Linked DNA regions of Canis lupus familiaris. The protein of the gene in region 1 interacts with the protein of each later gene in a pairwise test. Links are inferred from orthologs where the notes say so. Each region holds a gene or a part of one and is shown on either strand. Other genes may lie near its edges.

What was found.
Region 2: the proteins of EXOC5 (region 1) and RAB4B interact in binary tests that used the Homo sapiens proteins (3 or more experiments, as listed by UniProt). The two-hybrid records come from large-scale screens. The link is inferred for Canis lupus familiaris from reciprocal best matches to the Homo sapiens genes EXOC5 and RAB4B.

The regions. Positions count from the first base shown.
Region 1 is NC_049229.1:33,133,153-33,136,652, forward strand, and holds part of EXOC5 (exocyst complex component 5), read right to left. Parts: intron 1,799-3,500; coding exon 1,704-1,798; intron 1,061-1,703; coding exon 913-1,060; intron 1-912. UniProt on the Homo sapiens protein: Component of the exocyst complex involved in the docking of exocytic vesicles with fusion sites on the plasma membrane.
Region 2 is NC_049222.1:113,793,091-113,797,239, reverse strand, and holds the start of RAB4B (ras-related protein Rab-4B), read left to right. Parts: upstream 1-1,349; 5' UTR 1,350-1,459; coding exon 1,460-1,475; intron 1,476-2,665; coding exon 2,666-2,746; intron 2,747-2,990; coding exon 2,991-3,105; intron 3,106-4,149. Other genes in the region: MIA (melanoma-derived growth regulatory protein), read left to right, coding at 1-94, 425-448. UniProt on the Homo sapiens protein: The small GTPases Rab are key regulators of intracellular membrane trafficking, from the formation of transport vesicles to their fusion with membranes.

The DNA of each region.
Region 1 (3,500 bases):
TCTCCAAACCTGATAGATTAACTATTTATACTATTATATATTACCAAGAGAAAACTGAAGTATTTGGAATCTATCACTTTAACTACTTTAAAACACATTCTCTATCTTACATAAATTACTGACTTTATTAAATATTTTCTCACAGCCATATATATACTTAAGTGAAGGAAATCAAATAACGTTTGAGCAGAAATCAGTTTGCTAATCCCTAACACTAAGGAAAAACAGCCCCTGGGAGGCAGCAATGCTAAACATCACTCCATGAACTAGACTTATAAATGGCAATCAAGTTCCAGGATCTGGCCCAGGCTGTAAAATGGGTTCACAGGTTCCAGATTCAGTTTAGGACTTAAGAACAGCTAAGAAATTTGGCCTACTTACCCCAGAACCATACTGATAATTTGATTTTACTCCAAAATGGATTGAAGAAGAGTCCTGTATCCACTCTCCTCTAGTTATACCACAATTCTCATGAGGGCATATACTCCATGACTTCTGTAAAACTTCCCAGACTAGGGAAAAATTGGATTGAAGTAATAGGTGTTCTGGTATTACTTTGTTTTATGCTTAATGAGAATACAAATCACTACTTAAATATCCAAGCTAATCATGAACCCCTAAAAATGCAGATCTGCTAAAGGGTCATTCTTCAAAGTTTGCACTGTGACTGTACTACATACTACTTTAGCCTAAGAAGGGAGTACTATGATTCTAAATCAAGGATCAACAGCAAGTCAGTGCTAAGAGTGCTTGATAACAATTCACTGATGCTTTTCCCTAAGGATAGGAACATTTGAAAGAAACCTCAACAGTTACTATTATTTGACTAGAATTTTTAAAGAACTCAATTAAGTGGAAAGAAATAAAGAGATATTATAACCTGTATATATTATTCACAGCTTAAATGTTTACCTGATTGCTTTTCTGGAGCTCTTGTACCTTCTTGGCAAATTCCTTGGCTTCTTTCTGACACTGTTGCTCTAGTTTCTCTACTTTCCTTTGAATCCTTTCATCCATTATCTGGAGTTCTTGAATATGATTTACAAATTCTTCTAATAACCTAACAGAGGAAAATTAGAGTATGTATCAATCCATCTATGATTAATCATTAGGAGCTGGCCAGTTCACTTATAATAAAGTATCAATAAGCATTCCTTGAAGTAGGGGTGATCATGTTAATTTTCTTGATAGCATCCTAGGGATTATCTTTGACAAGATTGAAAACCTCACCCAGGATCTCTACTACCTTCCAGAATAGAAACCAATTCTATAGAAAATAGTCAAAAAGATAAAAATATATCTATATACATGAAGTACAAAAATATTTTTATAAAATACATAAAAATAATATTGTGCATTCCATGAAGAGTGACTTTCTGTTCCTCTGATTTACAACTACACTTAAATCAACATATTCAACATGAATTTATTTTAGAGATATAAGAATCTTTTCTAATTACAAATTGGAGAAAATATGAAATTCTTATATATATAATCCCTACCCTCACACCAGTTAAAGTCCTTCTCTAAAATAAAAGAAATATAAGAGAAAATAAATCAGTGCTTGTGTCTTTATTTGCCAAGTATTTAACTAAAATCCCTTTACACAAACCTTGGAAGGAATTTCAATAGTCACCTCTATTCTAAACACAAATTTGTACTAGACTGGATCTACGGGGAAAAATTTTTTTTTTTTACTTCACCTTTTGGGATCAAAAGCTTCAGGTCCCCCTCTAGAGCCTCCTCCTGGGGTTCTCCACACAAGTCGTTCAATATACTCATCTGCTACAAAAGGCTCCTAGTTTACAAAATAAATGTTCTTTTAAAATGTTTCATAGAAGATAACTTAATGCTACTTGCAAAAATGAAACATGTTCTATTATGTGAGAGCTTACAATGGAATTAAATTACCATTTAAATACACTGATATTATTAGATTGTACAAAGCTTTTTCAATTTAAAAATCAATAAACAAATTAATTAAAATTAGGATATTAAAATATTAGAACAATATTGTGATTAGTTAGAATATCTCAATGGAAAAATGAGCAAAGGACACAATTTATAGAAAACATACAAGAAACATGAAATATATGTGGCCTCACTAGTAATCAAATAAGGTTAAATTATCACTATTTTTAACCTCACACACTAACAAGGTTTTAGTAATTATACTTTGCAATACAAGAGAGTAAACTGAAATTTTCTTCACCCTCATTTTTGTTAGAAATGAACAGATACAATACTTTTGGAGGGCAACAGATAATGATTTGGTAACATCAACAGTATTAGAAATGCTCAAACCTTTTAACTCAGTAATTCTACTTTTAAAATTCTAAGGAAAAAGCAGATATGAATACAACAATTTCTGCAGAAAGTTCACTGAGTATTATATATAATACCTAAAAATAGGTTATATATTCAATAAAACCATTATTGAAAAATTATGACAAACTTAAAGGATGAAAAACTATGTTCCTATTAAAATCAGACTGAAAAAATTAAATGCAATGAGAAAAAATGTTCCCATATAATACTGATGAAAAAAGCAGGACACAGTTTTCTAAATTTTCTCAGGAAAAAGCATTAATTATGAAAAAAAGACTATTAGAAGACCCAATCAAGAAACTAAATTTCCAAATATTCACCATTAGCTGACAATGAACTTTTTAGAATACACACACTAATTTACGTATTTTTCATATTACCTTCTTTACTGCAAATGGCTATCAAATATTGCCTCCCACTTAGTGTGTTACTTAAACTAGTAGCATGGTGGTGATTCCAGTTTGAATTCTTATTATCTGCAAAATTTTCCATTTGTTAATCATATTTTAAAAACATATTTTCATTGATAAACATTCACTGAACAATAAAATTTCCAGTGCCAAACATTCTGATAGGCTCTGGATTAAAAAGATATACTAGAAAACTGCAACCTCAAGAAACTCACAGCTTAACAGAGGAAAAATTATAAAGAATGCAGTTGTATCTGATAAGTAAAATTAAGAATTTACGCAAATTTTAATATTAACACTGCTAAGATGTTACCTCTACAGGTAGCTGTGCAATAGAAATGGGTATTTTTTCGGCAAATTTTGCTGAGCAACTGCTATGTTCTGGGCACAGTGGTAGGCACTAAGAATATAGATGTCAAGTCAACAGACAGGGTTCCTGCAAGGCCTCAGAGAAACGGTCTTCTATGTAAGGATGCCAACATTAAACAATTACAGACATTAGTTACAATTGTAATAAATATGAGGGAAGGAAAAGTCTTAGATCTAACACTATACAACAGGAACAGAGATAATGGAAGACAGTAAGAGATAAAAGACTGCAAAGAAGCAGGCATTACATCAGGCAAACTTTCTGAGGACCTAACACTTATGCTAGGTCACTTATGAGACCAGAAGAAAGAAGAAAAATCAGCCAGGCAATAATGGAACAAATATTTTTCTAGACCATTAGGGAAAGAGAAGATAGAACTTAACCTATTACAG
Region 2 (4,149 bases), on another chromosome or scaffold:
TGGAGATCTAGCTGCTCGCCTGGGCTATTTCCCCAGTAGTGTTGTACGTGAGGACCAGACCCTGAAACCTGGCAAAATCGATGTGAAGACAGATGTGAGTGTCTTGGGGGGCTGGCAGGGATCCGGAGGGAGGACCCTGAGGTTGTGATGATGGGCAAAGATGCTCCTGCCCTTGGCTCCCTGGCAGTGTAGCTGTGTGCACTGGGACAAATTCCCTGCCTCGGTTTTCTTATCTGTAAAATGGGGGAGTGATTTTTTTTTGAAGTCCCTGTTAGATTGAGAGGTGCAAAGATTGGAGGACTCTGGACTAATTTGCATAGCACATGTTTGGCCAAACCTGGCCCCTGCCACAACAAAAACCACTAGATCCTTTGTGGTGTGACCGCTGGTTTTCTCCCCACTGTTTACCCTTTCTCTTTTTCAGAAATGGGATTTCTACTGCCAGTGAGCTCAGCCTACCACTGTCCCTGCTGTTTTTTTTTTTTTTCCCTCCTTCTGGCTTTATGCAAATATATCAGCCAAGTGCAAAATGCAGGTCTCCGTGGTCTTTTTTTTGGGGGGGGGGGGGGGGCGGTGTAACAAAGGAAATGTTTCCCCAGGTTCCTGAATTTAGCCAGTCAACTCATTGACTCTCGTGACGTCAGTGGTTGCTAGGCAGACTTCCACTAAATGCTCTGCTCCGAGCTGGGTACCAGAGGTGGGCTAAACTTAGATACACAAGCAAATGAGAAGGCGGAATAGCCTGAACAGACCGGTTGCGTGTTTTTTAGTGTCCTCTCTAGACCAAGGGGAGGGAGTTGAACTGTTGGGAAGGAGCCAATAAGGCCACGAGGAAGACATAAATCACAGAATAACAGAATAAGAGGTTATCGTGGAAGACCATCTGCAAAGGGAAGGGGGAGGTTAGCCAGCGCGTACCCCCCACCCCTCCAGTTTTCGTCTTTCTTGTCTTTGAGGTCTGAGAAAGCGCTCCCCAGCTCGATACCCGCTCCTCTTCGGGTCTTTCTGTCAATCCTGTCCATGCCCCCTTCTTTGCAGCCGTGCCCCCGCCCCCAGGTCCGCTCCTACCCAATCCGGAGTCTCGACTCTGCACCCGTACTCCTGACCAAATCCGTTTCTCAGCGGGGCTAAAGCATCTCCGTACGGTCCCTTCCCACCTGCTCCGCCAATCGCTCGTCTTGGTCCCGCCCCCCTTGGCCCGTCCCCTCTCGCGCGGCCAATCCGCGCCCTTTGTCCCGCCTCCCGGCCGCCGAGTTCACCAATCCCTGCTCTCGGGAAGCGTGGCCTGGTATCCCGCAGCCCTAGCGGGTCGCGCTGTGGGGGGTGGAGGCGGAAGTGGCGGCGCCGGTCCCGGGAGTAGGAAGGAGCCGGGGCTGCAGCCGGAGTGGAGCGGCTGCCAGCCGAGGAGCAGGCGCGGCCGCGGCGCCATATTGCGGCCCCGAGCGGCCGCGACCGAGTCATGGCCGAGACCTACGGTGAGGGTGGTGGGCCGGAGTCAGGGTCTGGGGTCTGGGCCCAGGGAGGATGCGGCCTTTGGGGAGTGGGGCGGGGCCTTATGTGCCAGGGGGCGGGGTCTGGCATGGGGCAGGGCCTAGTGGCTGCTGGGAGGGGTTTAATGGGTACGAGGCTGGGCTTCATGGATTTGGGCGGAGCCTGAGGGTCTGGTGTGTGGGTTAAATAGATCTGGGGCGGGATTTGAGGGAGCCAGTCTTGATGGACTTGGGCAGGCCTTGAAGGAAAGGATGGTTCTTACTGTGTCGGGGCGGAGTCTGGATGGATGGGGTGGGGCTGACCGTGTGAATGGCAGGGCTTGGGGATGGTGGGCTGGGAGAACCCCGAGGGGTTGCTGTGGATCCTGGGATTGCTCTGGCTGGAGAGGGCTGCAGTGGGGTTGGGGATGCATCGTCCTTGAATTAGGTGGTGGGAGGGACTAGTGGCAAGGGGTGGGTGGGGCTTAAACTTGAGAGGGCCTCGGGCCGAGGAAGGGATGGAGGGACTGAGAATTGGAGAATCCGGATGGATGGATGAATAGGAGGTGGGAGGACAGGGTGCCGTAGAAACAGCACTGGTGTAAGAATCAGAAGGAGCTATATTCCTTCAACGAGTAGAGAAAAGCCGAGGGAACAAGTGCAAAGATCCTGAGGTGAGAACCAGCTTGCCATTTTCAGGTAATAGACTGAAGGCCCCAGGCTAGAATAGAGTGAATGAGAACGTGGTAGGAGGTGAGGTCGTGATGGGCAAGGGCAAGGCTGTCACCCTGGGTAACATGGATCTTGAGAGGCTTTAACAACATCATAGCTAAGCTTTTGAGCTCTGGAGCCAGTTGAGCTGGGTTCGAATCCCAGCTATGCCCAGCTATGGGGTCTTGGGTAGACCAGTTAACCTTTCTGGCCTCAGTTTCCTCATCTGGAAGATGGAGATACTTGTTGGTATACCTCCCTTGTAGTGTTTTTCTGAGGATTAAGTGAGCTTGCCGTAGTAAAGAGCTAGAACTGTGCCTGTTATGTGGTAAGCACTGTATATGAATTGTCTGTTGTTACTGTTGCTCTGTTTCTGCCTGTGTCTGTTTGTCCCCTTGTAACTGTGATGGTCTCTTGGTTTCCATCTTTTGCCCTGTATCATTCTCTCCATATGGGTTTCCCTGATTTTGGCTCCATCTGCTCAGACTTCCTCTTCAAATTCCTGGTGATTGGCAGTGCAGGAACTGGCAAATCATGTCTCCTTCATCAGTTCATTGAGAATAAGTGTGAGTTTCTGGGAGTGGTCCCGGGAGCACTGAACTGTGGGTGTGGGCATAGCGTGGGCAGGGGCAGGGCTGGCCGTAGGTACAATTTCAGTGCTGGCTGCCTGGCCCTCGCCTTTGCTAGATCCTCCTTGAGGATCTCAGTCACCCCAGCAATGAGAATGGTTTTGTATAGGCTGAGGAGGCTTGGGAGGACAGGGAAGCTTCTGAGCCCCTGCACTGCCTCTTCTCTCCTTCCCACTCCCAGTCAAACAGGACTCCAACCACACAATCGGCGTGGAGTTTGGATCTCGGGTAGTCAACGTGGGTGGGAAGACTGTGAAGCTCCAGATTTGGGACACAGCCGGCCAAGAGCGGTTTCGGTAGGTGGGCCGGGCTCCCAAGGGAGGGGGACAGAGGAAAGAGGAGACAAAATGAGATAAAGGGACAGAGAGAGAGGTGTGTGCAGTCACTTGGAGGTATGACGGAAGCACAGAGACAATGAGAGGGCAGGCGAGGCTGCGGGAGAAAGGCAGAGACTCAGTACGGGTGCCTATTATAGCCAGAGCTAGCAGGGGTCCTGGAGAGAGAGCAAGGATTGCAAGGGAGAATGAGGCTGAGAAAGAAGCATAATGAAAGGAGAGACCCACAGACCCTAGAGAGACTGCAGTAGATCGAGCCATAAGGCTGGAGAGATGGAGATTTGTGCCTGGGGAAAGGCGCTTGGGGTGGGGGCCAGGGGTAGAGGTGGAAAGAGAGAGATTGAAAGAGAAGGAAACTGCGAAAGAGATACACTCAGAATTAGACAGAGAAAGACAGAGACTGAGAAGAAGAGCAAGGGAAGGATGATAAAGAGACACAAAGAGAAATAGGTCCAAGCCGGAGACAGGGAGGGTGGGACAGGAGGAGCCAGAGAGGTGGAGAAATGGATGTTGTGTGGCGGGGGAGAGAGAATGGCGGAGGGCTCAGCATACAGTGTGTCTTCAAGAAATGGCTGCGGACAAGGTGGTTGGTGCACAGAAACCCTGAGTTTAAGAGACAGAGAGGAGGGACATGAGGGAATCGAGTCCATGGAGAAGTGTGGTCCCTAGCCAGCATGGCGTCGTAGCTGCTAAGTTAATATTGGTGATATTGTTGATATCACCATGTGAGAGAGACAGAGAGAAGGCGAAGGGTGAGTGGCTGGCGCTGGGTTTGTGCTAAGTGCTTAGTGAGTGCTTGTGGAATGGTTGAATTTGAGGAGGACCCAGACAGGTGACACGGAGATGCAGGCAGATGCAGCCACCCTGGGAAGAGGGCCTCCCCAAGATGCAGCAGGAGAGGGACAAGCCAGTGTAGTTGCAGAGCACTTGGCCAGGAATGGGCAAAGGGAAGAAGGCGAAATGAGGCATGAGTGAATGCATGAGAAACCAAGAGTGAAGAAGAGG